Linked DNA regions of Arabidopsis thaliana. The protein of the gene in region 1 interacts with the protein of each later gene in a pairwise test. Each region holds a gene or a part of one and is shown on either strand. Other genes may lie near its edges.

The links. The genes of interacting proteins can lie anywhere in the genome.
Region 2: the proteins of EMB2752 (region 1) and AT5G48740 interact in a protein complementation assay, tested with the Arabidopsis thaliana proteins (one large-scale study listed by BioGRID).

The regions. Positions count from the first base shown.
Region 1 is NC_003075.7:14,533,632-14,536,931, forward strand, and holds EMB2752 (embryo defective 2752), read right to left. Parts: upstream 1,726-3,300; 5' UTR 1,541-1,725; coding exon 1,349-1,540; intron 984-1,348; coding exon 864-983; 3' UTR 550-863; downstream 1-549. Other genes in the region: PRA1.C (prenylated RAB acceptor 1.C), read right to left, coding at 1-388; ACHT2 (atypical CYS HIS rich thioredoxin 2), read right to left, coding at 2,352-2,630, 2,745-2,924, 3,226-3,300.
Region 2 is NC_003076.8:19,764,688-19,771,217, reverse strand, and holds AT5G48740 (Leucine-rich repeat protein kinase family protein), read left to right. Parts: upstream 1-1,848; 5' UTR 1,849-1,903; coding exon 1,904-1,961; intron 1,962-2,044; coding exon 2,045-2,582; intron 2,583-2,672; coding exon 2,673-3,124; intron 3,125-3,203; coding exon 3,204-3,321; intron 3,322-3,402; coding exon 3,403-3,471; intron 3,472-3,554; coding exon 3,555-3,623; intron 3,624-3,700; coding exon 3,701-3,769; intron 3,770-3,852; coding exon 3,853-3,924; intron 3,925-4,005; coding exon 4,006-4,074; intron 4,075-4,152; coding exon 4,153-4,382; intron 4,383-4,461; coding exon 4,462-4,667; intron 4,668-4,787; coding exon 4,788-4,914; intron 4,915-5,012; coding exon 5,013-5,081; intron 5,082-5,177; coding exon 5,178-5,367; intron 5,368-5,452; coding exon 5,453-5,585; intron 5,586-5,675; coding exon 5,676-5,894; 3' UTR 5,895-6,023; downstream 6,024-6,530. Other genes in the region: AT5G48750 (Cytochrome b561/ferric reductase transmembrane with DOMON related domain-containing protein), read left to right, coding at 399-1,166; AT5G48730 (Pentatricopeptide repeat (PPR) superfamily protein), read right to left, coding at 6,082-6,530.

The DNA.
Region 1 (3,300 bases):
TGAGGACCAACAAAACCAGCACCAAAGTAGAATCATCGATCACACTGCCAAATATCACCCATGGTTCATTATCACGGGAGTAGACATATAGCCATGCTACTATCAAGATAACAAAGACGGAAAGGTGGACGGGTTGCCAAAGCATGCTGATGAAGATACTAACAATGAAGATAACAATGTAGTTGGTTCGAAAGATCATGATGTTGGATTTGATTCGTTCAGTGGCAACGCTAAAGGAGATAGGAAGGCTAAAGGCACTACATTGGACAAGTTCAAGCCATGGCCTTTGAGAGCTAAGACCTAACGAGATCAATTCTTTGGCTCGTCCTAATAAGCTCAGGCTCGACGAAGCATTTTCTTGGGATGGTATAGTGCCATAGGTTGTCATATTCTTTCACAAGCAACAAACAAAAAAAAAAAGGAAGGAAAGAAACAGAGTACGTCCCCAGAGGAATCTATATGGACTAAAGAATGTGAAGCAACCTAATTTGAAGAGAAAAATCTGTGTTGGCTCAATGTTTCTGAGGTAGTTAGATCATCTATCTTATTTGGGAATGTTTTATTTCAGGACACCAGAAGAGAGGCAGATACAAGCAGAGATATTCAAAGGAATGAATGGATACCCTTAAACTTCTCAAATCAAATCCTTATACTATAACGAGACTGTCATTACATGTAATTTCTAGAAAATAGATTCTTAAGAGAGTCATTAGACTCGAAATACAGACACAAACATTCTACTGAACCAAAAGAAGTTTTTTGATATACATATACTAGTGAACCAGTATAAATCCATTTATATCTGCGTATCAAAGTCGGAGATACATCCTTCACCATAGTCTCTGATAGCCTAATCGTTAGCTTCACTGGCTGCTAGCATCTGAAGCAATAGCCTCACCACGATAAACTCTCCATGGTCCTCGATAGAATACTGGCTTCATCAGAGGCACTGTTTTCCCTGGGTGCTCTTCCCAAAACTTCTCCTGTTTACAGAGAGTGGAGTAACATAAAGTTCACACTCAAACAAGAAACATAACTGATACTAACACAAAACAGTGTAAGAAACACATTGACAAAGAATACAATATACTACAGAACAATGAATTAGATTAGATACTAATCAAGACGTAAAAGCTTCATTGAAAGACCTAATGAACCATTCCCATGAAAAGCAATTCAAGTATAGTTCTTTTCATGATCACACAATCCTTTATTAGTAATCAACAATGAATCATTTCCAATTTTATCACATTTCGAACCCTAACATTTACCAATCACGAGAATCAAATTAGAACCCACAAATCTAATAGCAATTCCGGGCCTGAATCGATAACAATACGAAGCTGACCTTGTAGAGCTGCTCTGTAACTGCAGCGCCGATGACGCCGGTGTAAAAGGCGGCGACATAGATAGTAATCAAAGTTGTGAAGGTTTTTGGTCGACGGTAAGGTTCGATCATTTCCCAAACAGCAAATCTCTCGAACTTATTGTACTTATAATCAGCATATTTCCTCCATAGTTGGCTCCACACTCCTTGCATCTCTCAGATTTCTCTCTTCTCAAACCTTCGCCGAATTTTGGATTTCTCCGTCTAGCTGTTTCGCGGCGGCGCGTGGGAACCTGAGAAAAATCTGATATCAAAAGGCAAGACTTTAAACGTTAAAACGTTTACCAAACAGTCCTCTTATTCCTACATGTTTTAGTTTTCAGCCCTTAACTTATCTTTAACACTTAAAAGTCTTGAGCTCACATTTGTAAATTTTTAAAAAATCTTATTTGATATGATTCTTGTAAATTTGTAAATTGTAATCACAACACATGATTATTGTAACCATTGTGCTATGTATTTGTTTTTCACTATCGTTCGGTAAGTTGAGAAAGTTATAAATTTACCCCAAAACTATGGAAATGAGACTTATGCAACCTCACATGACTTCATCAATAAGCTTGCTTTAAAGCAATAAAGAACAGCAGTAGTGAAAATACATTTGCAATTGACTATTAGCAGAAGAATCGTAACTGGCTTTAGGAAGTATTCTTTTACACCCAAAAATATGACGATATACAGAATTTTAAGCTGAGTATTTGCTTGAGCAACCAAAGATTGTTGCCTTAGTAATATATCTAAAAATCTGGCACTTCAACTTGATGCAGCTGGTTTGGCTAATGTTAAGCCTTCAGGTACCTTGGCTGGACCGAGGCTGCAACGATCGGTATTGTGCAGTTGGATTGCATCTTTTATCTTCTGAAACTGAATACACACAAATATTCAAAAGAAGAGGATGTCAAATAGTAATCAGAGACAGACCAAATGCATTCAACCGGTTTTGGTATCAATATCAGCAAAGGGTCTATAATATTTGATAGATCCTATCGAAAAAGAACAACGAAGTAGTTCTCTTTGTTTGAAGCGTTATGCCAAGCTCTAGTTGCGGAAAAGGTGAAACCGAAATAGCCTTCTTTACCTTAGCAAGAGAACATGAGAATGACTCAAGCTGACCATCAGCTCCACGGTAAAAGTGGAAAAAAGGAAGCACTCTCACGTTCAAACTCTTGCACATCGGTTTATTCTCATCAAAGTTTACTTTAAGGAACACTATATCGGGATGTTCCACCGCTGTCTTGCAAAGCTGAAAACATTTTCAAAACAGACACAAAAAAAACATCTAAATTTCTCACAGAATCACGAAAGAGAAATGAAACTCTTATAGTTTCATGGAATAGATACGTCACATGACACTAACCTTTGGGAACAATGCTCTGCAAGAAGCACACCAAGTTCCATAAAACTCTACAATAACTAATCTTTCACCCGCACCGCTTAAAGCGCTCAAGAACTCTTCAGTAGAATGAATATCGACCATGTTTGGAGCATTCCTCTCCCACCATTTCGGTGGCTCTGTCTCGGCTACATTTTCATCTACCTACACCACAAACCCACATCAGAAACATAAAACTATGGCCGAAAGCATCACCATCTAATCAAAGCAATCAATAGCATCACCGTCTCTAACAAAAAAACTGAAACTTTAGACTAAATTCTAAACATCTGAAGTGGAATGAGAACATAACAGTGAGCTAAGGTCACAATTCACGTTTAGGCTCTAGCTAGAGGCGAAAGACCAAATCGAATAACAAGAGATCAGAAATGGGCTCAAGAGTCTCAATTTCCAAAAGGGTATACGATTTACGGACAGAATCAGCTAAAAGGCAAGACATTTGTACCTTGACACGAACCACTTGGCTCTTGGGTCGTCTAAGGGGGAGATGGCTTCCGAGACCAGAAGATGGGTGGTAATG
Region 2 (6,530 bases), on another chromosome or scaffold:
TATCTTTTACTTAGGTCTTGTATCGAAATTTGTACTCCTAACATTTTATGCTTGAGTTTTATTTATTAGATTGTGTGGCTAACTCCTTTGGTTTAAAAAGTTTAAACAACGAAAATAAATCGCTTTTACGAAATTGAAATGTGGTAGAAATTAGATAAATTGAAATTTGGGGGGACAAAAAATTTAAATAGATTTGTCGGCAAGGAAAAAGAACGATTCACGAAAAAAAAAGGAAAAATAACGATTCACAACTACACTTGGAATTGGAATCGTGTATTCTTTATAAATATAGACCACTAGCTAACAACGAAAAAATTCATTAATCGAATTTCTTCAAAAGCAAGATACTCTGACTTCGAAAGATTAAACCTAAGTGTTCTCTCGGAAAATCCATCATCATGTTTCTGTCTTCGAGAACTATTTTTGTGGGTTTGTGTTTTCTGTTCGTTTTGGCTCCATGCTTTACTAGAGCAACAACCAATGAAGTTCAAGTTAGCTGCGACTCTCACAACTTCAACAATGGCAAACACTTCCGTTCATGTGTTGACCTTCCTGTGTTAGATTCGTTTCTACACTACAGTTACGTTCGAGAAACCGGAGTGCTTGAAGTTGCATATCGTCATACCAACATCGAGTCTTCTAGTTGGATTGCTTGGGGCATAAACCCGACGAGCAAAGGCATGATAGGTGCTCAAACACTTTTGGCTTACCGTAACTCCACGTCCGGTTTTATGCGTGCATATACTTCCTCAATAAATGGCTACACACCTATGCTTCAAGAAGGCCCTCTGAGCTTTCGTGTAACGCAACTATCCGCTGAATATCTCAATAGAGAGATGACTATATTTGCCACTATGGTGTGGCCGTCTAACACAACCGTTGTCAATCATTTATGGCAAGACGGTCCGTTGAAGGAAGGTGATAGGCTTGGGATGCACGCCATGAGTGGAAATCATCTCAAATCCATGGCTAATTTGGATTTGTTGTCCGGACAAGTCATGACCACTAAAGCAGCTAATGATAACATGTTACTAGTCAAAAGCATTCATGGACTAGTGAATGCAGTGTGTTGGGGGATTTTCATACCCATTGGTGTCATGGCTGCAAGGTACATGAGGACCTACAAAGGACTGGACCCCACTTGGTTCTACATACTAATCCTCTAAGGATCTAGAAGTTGATCAGACGGTTTGCATTGATGTCTATGATGTCTAATTTCTTAAGGTTGACTTAGTAGTTATATTGCTAGTTTGCTATTAGCTAAGCCTAGTTCGTGTGGCTGTCAAAAAAAAAAAAAAAAGAAGCCTAGTTCGTGTGTAACGTCCAAAAAAAAAAATCAATTAGAGATTAACGATTTTGAATTAAGTACTAAATACAGATTTATGTTTTTGAGGCATTAATTAGTTTTTCTTTCTCCTTTTCAAGTTATGGGAGACTTTGGGTATGTAAACGATTTGTCCAAAAAAGATTTTCCCTTTATAAGGAAGCTTAAGGAGGATGCATTGAGGATTAGTGTTGAAGCCAAGCAAAACATAAATATCATTGCATTTGAAGAATTCTCACTCAAGCATCATTCTCATTATCATTCTTAAAAATTGAGCAACCAAATTTTGCTCTCTTTTTACATTTTAACTCACAAATACCATATTTGACACTAAAAAGATCTCACTTCTATTGTTAAATAAACATTCATTTTAGTTAAATTGTAATTTATAATATTAACTTGACACTGACTGTTAGTGCATTCTGATGACCACTAAGTAAAGTACCTACGAGTCATCATCATTGACATCTTCACACAGACACTCATATTATATAAAGAATGAATTCACTCACAAATTAGGAAACAATATAGAACAATTAGTTATATATGTTCTTCAGATTTCAATCAGGAAATTAGAACATGCTCTTTTGGGTTTTGCTCAGTAGTTTCTGTGTGTTTTGTTTCTCCAGTCCAGATGGTATGCAGATTCTAGACTTTGTCTCACATTATTTGTACTCATTTTGCCTTCAACTGTTTGATTGAATCTTTGTGATGGAACAGGTTTCTTGAGCTTATCATGTGGCGGCTCAAGTTACACCGCTGCTTATAACATCTCATGGGTTTCAGACAACGATTATATCGAAACAGGTAACACTACCACGGTTACTTACGCCGAGGGGAATTCTACTTCCAGTGTTCCCATCAGATTATTCCCGGATCCTCAAGGTCGCCAATGTTACAAGTTACCTGTGAGGAAAGACTTGTCTTCAGTTCTGATTCGTGCTACATTCGTTTATAGAAACTATGATAGCCAGAATAGTCCTCCAGCATTTCATGTCTCTCTTGGAAGGAGAATCACTAGTACTGTTGATCTTAGAACCAATGATCCTTGGATTGAAGAGTTAGTTTGGCCAGTCAACAATGATTCTCTTTTGCTTTGCTTGCTTGCGGTTAAAGGAAGAGGTATTCCGGTTATCTCTTCTCTAGAAGTACGGCCACTTCCTTTAGGTTCTTACAAATACAGCCTGGAGGGTTCACCAGATATAATTCTCAGGAGAAGTTACCGAATCAATAGCGGATACACAAATGGGACTATCCGGTAAGAATTCTCAGGCTCTAAACTTTGATCGCTGTCTCTTTCTTTGGTGTGTTTTGTTGAATTTTCTTGGTGAATTATGTTGAATGGTAGGTATCCTTCAGATCCATTTGATCGAATATGGGATCCGGATCAAAGTTATTCACCGTTTCACGCCTCTTGGAGCTTCAATGGACTCACAAAATTGAATTCCTTCAATATTACTGAGAATCCACCAGCTTCTGTTCTTAAGACAGCAAGAATTCTTGCTCGCAAAGAAAGTCTTTCATATACTCTTTCTCTACATACACCAGGGGACTACTACATTATCCTCTACTTTGCTGGGATACTCTCACTCTCCCCTTCTTTTAGTGTGACGATCAATGATGAAGTCAAACAATCTGATTACACCGTAACTAGCTCAGAAGCTGGTACCTTGTACTTTACGCAAAAAGGAATCAGTAAGTTAAACATCACCCTCAGAAAAATCAAGTTCAATCCTCAAGTGAGTGCTCTTGAGGTATATGAAATCCTCCAAATCCCTCCTGAAGCTTCTTCTACCACAGGTACTCTCTTTTGAGGTTGTCTGGATAAAGCAAACTACACAAGAGCCGAAGTTCACCTTTCAAGTTTATATTTTTGCAGTTTCGGCACTTAAAGTCATAGAGCAATTTACCGGGCAAGACCTTGGATGGCAAGACGACCCATGCACACCGCTTCCTTGGAACCACATCGAATGTGAAGGAAACCGTGTTACATCATTGTAAAAACAATCCTTATCATATCGATTGCTTTCAACATTTCTTCATCTCAGCTCATATTTTTCCTTCTTCTGGCTGTCCAGGTTCCTTTCAAAAATCAACCTGAGGTCCATTAGTCCAACATTCGGAGACTTGCTCGATCTCAAAACACTGTAAGGCAATCACTCTTCAACAGTTGTAGTGTCTCATGTATACGTATGTGGTTACCTTGAGTGTTCTCTACTTCTCCGTGCAGCGACTTGCATAATACATCACTTACAGGAGCAATACAGAATGTAGGCAGCCTTAAGGATCTCCAGAAACTGTAATACTCATCCATAGAACATTAACATAATTTTTATGTTTCCTGTAGTACTAAAAAGCTTCTGACGGTATATACAGGAATTTGAGCTTCAATCAGTTAGAATCTTTTGGCTCCGAGCTGGAAGATCTGGTTAACCTTGAAGTTCTGTAAGTCAATCTTATACTGAGAGTTTCTGGATATACGTTCGTTCTTTGTGGAAAATTTTAAAGTATTTCTCCATTTCTTGAAGGGACCTGCAAAACAACAGCTTACAAGGATCAGTTCCTGAAACATTAGGAAAGCTGAAGAAACTTCGTCTCCTGTAAGTAAACATTAACATCAAGAAGTAGCTTGTACATACCATATTCACACAGAAGAGAATCTTTATGTTACTTCTTCTCAGGAATCTGGAAAACAATAACTTAGTAGGTCCCTTGCCACAGTCTCTTAACATAACGGGTCTGGAAGTCAGGTATACACGATTTCTGTCTCGGCATTTGCTACACTATTCTGTTCTTGTGCATGTTACTGAATTGCTTCTTTTTTTCAGGATAACGGGAAATCCATGCCTTTCGTTCTCTTCAATATCATGCAACAATGTGTCTTCAACAATTGACACACCACAAGTCACTATCCCTATCAATAAGAAACAAAGAAAACAGAACCGTATAGCGATCTTGCTTGGAGTTTCTGGTGGAGCCTTGTTTGCCACCTTTCTTGTCTTTGTTTTCATGTCGATCTTCACGAGGAGACAGAGAAACAAAGAGAGAGATATAACCAGTATGGGAACAATGCTTTCTCTTTGCCCCCACAAAGTTGTCCCTTTATAATTCTTATAGTATATCAAAATCTGTATCAGGAGCACAACTGAAAATGCAGAACTGGAACGCTTCAAGAATCTTTTCTCACAAAGAGATCAAGTCAGCTACTAGAAATTTCAAGGAAGTGATTGGTCGTGGAAGTTTTGGAGCTGTATACCGTGGAAAACTACCAGATGGAAAACAAGTTGCGGTCAAAGTGCGATTTGATAGAACTCAACTTGGAGCTGATTCTTTCATCAATGAGGTTTAAGCGTCCACATAGTTCTCCCAAAATTACTGTCCATATTTGAATGTCATGCATTCCAAATCCACGGTCAAGTATACATTCATCTTTAGTGATCCCTTTGTACTGTCTGCGTTCTAGGTGCACCTTTTGTCTCAGATCCGCCACCAAAATCTAGTTTCATTTGAGGGCTTCTGCTATGAACCAAAACGTCAAATACTGGTGTATGAGTATCTGTCTGGTGGATCCTTAGCTGATCACCTTTACGGTATGAAAATCCTCAAGTATCTAGCAATTCTCATCATCTTTTTGCAAAATCATCTTCCTCGCAAAGCTATAGCTGTCGGTGATATCTTGCTTCTGCAGGTCCACGTAGCAAAAGGCATTCATTGAACTGGGTTTCAAGACTAAAAGTTGCTGTTGATGCTGCAAAAGGTACATCTTCAACATCTGCGGATCTGCCATTGGTATCATTATAATAAAACTCGTTTGATCCTGGTAGATAGTAAAAGTTTTGGCTTATTCATGAAGGATTGGACTACCTGCATAATGGAAGTGAGCCGAGAATTATACATCGGGATGTAAAGAGCAGTAACATACTTTTAGACAAGGATATGAACGCGAAAGTTTCTGATTTTGGCCTGTCAAAACAATTTACAAAAGCAGATGCATCTCATATTACTACTGTTGTTAAAGGCACCGCAGGCTACCTTGACCCCGAGTAAACTCTTCTACAATATCTCTCCGAATTCGTGATGGATTAACAGCTTCATTAGCTAATCATTACTCACACTTTTTCATTCCAGATATTACTCTACCCTGCAGCTGACAGAGAAAAGTGATGTCTATAGCTTTGGTGTGGTTCTGTTGGAGCTTATCTGTGGAAGAGAACCCTTAAGTCACTCAGGATCACCAGATTCGTTTAACTTGGTCTTATGGGTGAGAGTAACATAGAATATTATCTTAGTTTCTCATCTCTCAAGTATCTGAGTACACAGTGTCTTAAAAGATCAGAATACTTAAATGCAGGCTAGGCCAAACTTACAAGCAGGAGCTTTTGAGATTGTGGATGATATCTTGAAGGAGACATTTGATCCAGCGAGCATGAAAAAAGCTGCTTCGATTGCTATAAGATGTGTGGGAAGAGATGCATCTGGAAGACCGTCTATCGCCGAAGTTTTGACTAAACTGAAAGAAGCGTACAGTCTTCAACTCTCATATCTAGCTGCTTCAGCACATACAGACTGATAACACATCACAAACAAGAGTAAATACATAACTTGTATTATTTTTTTTTGTTTTTCCGTTTGTGTTACATATATTTGTAATCCAACTGAAAATGTATTTACTCTTATACTAACTACATTTTATCATTAGAACAAGGAGATGGATACTAGAAAGATATATACTAGCAAAATTGAGCTCTATTCCTCCACTAAAAATCTGGCTTCTTCACCACAACTTGGGCTTCACCAACAGACTCAACCACACCATGAAGTTCCTTTACATGGGTAGTCATGCCACTAATTCTATAAGCCTTAACCATTGTCCTGTATGTAATCTTATCAGGTTTGAATCCCTTCTTTTCCATTAGTTCAAGAACACCTTTCATCTCTGCAAACTTTTCCATCCTCCCGTACGCATCTACCAGACAGTTAAAGAACACGAGGTCTAACCTTATGTCTGAGTTCTCGATGAAACGCAATACTCCTCCAATTTTATCAGCTTTACTAGCTCTTCCATAAGCACGAACAAGAGAACATAGTGTAACACAACTCGGGAAAATTCTCTCTGATTGCATCAGTCTAAATAAGTATTCCATTTGTTTTAAGTCTCCTGCCCTCCCAAACGCGTCAATGACCACATTATAGGTGACTATGGTCC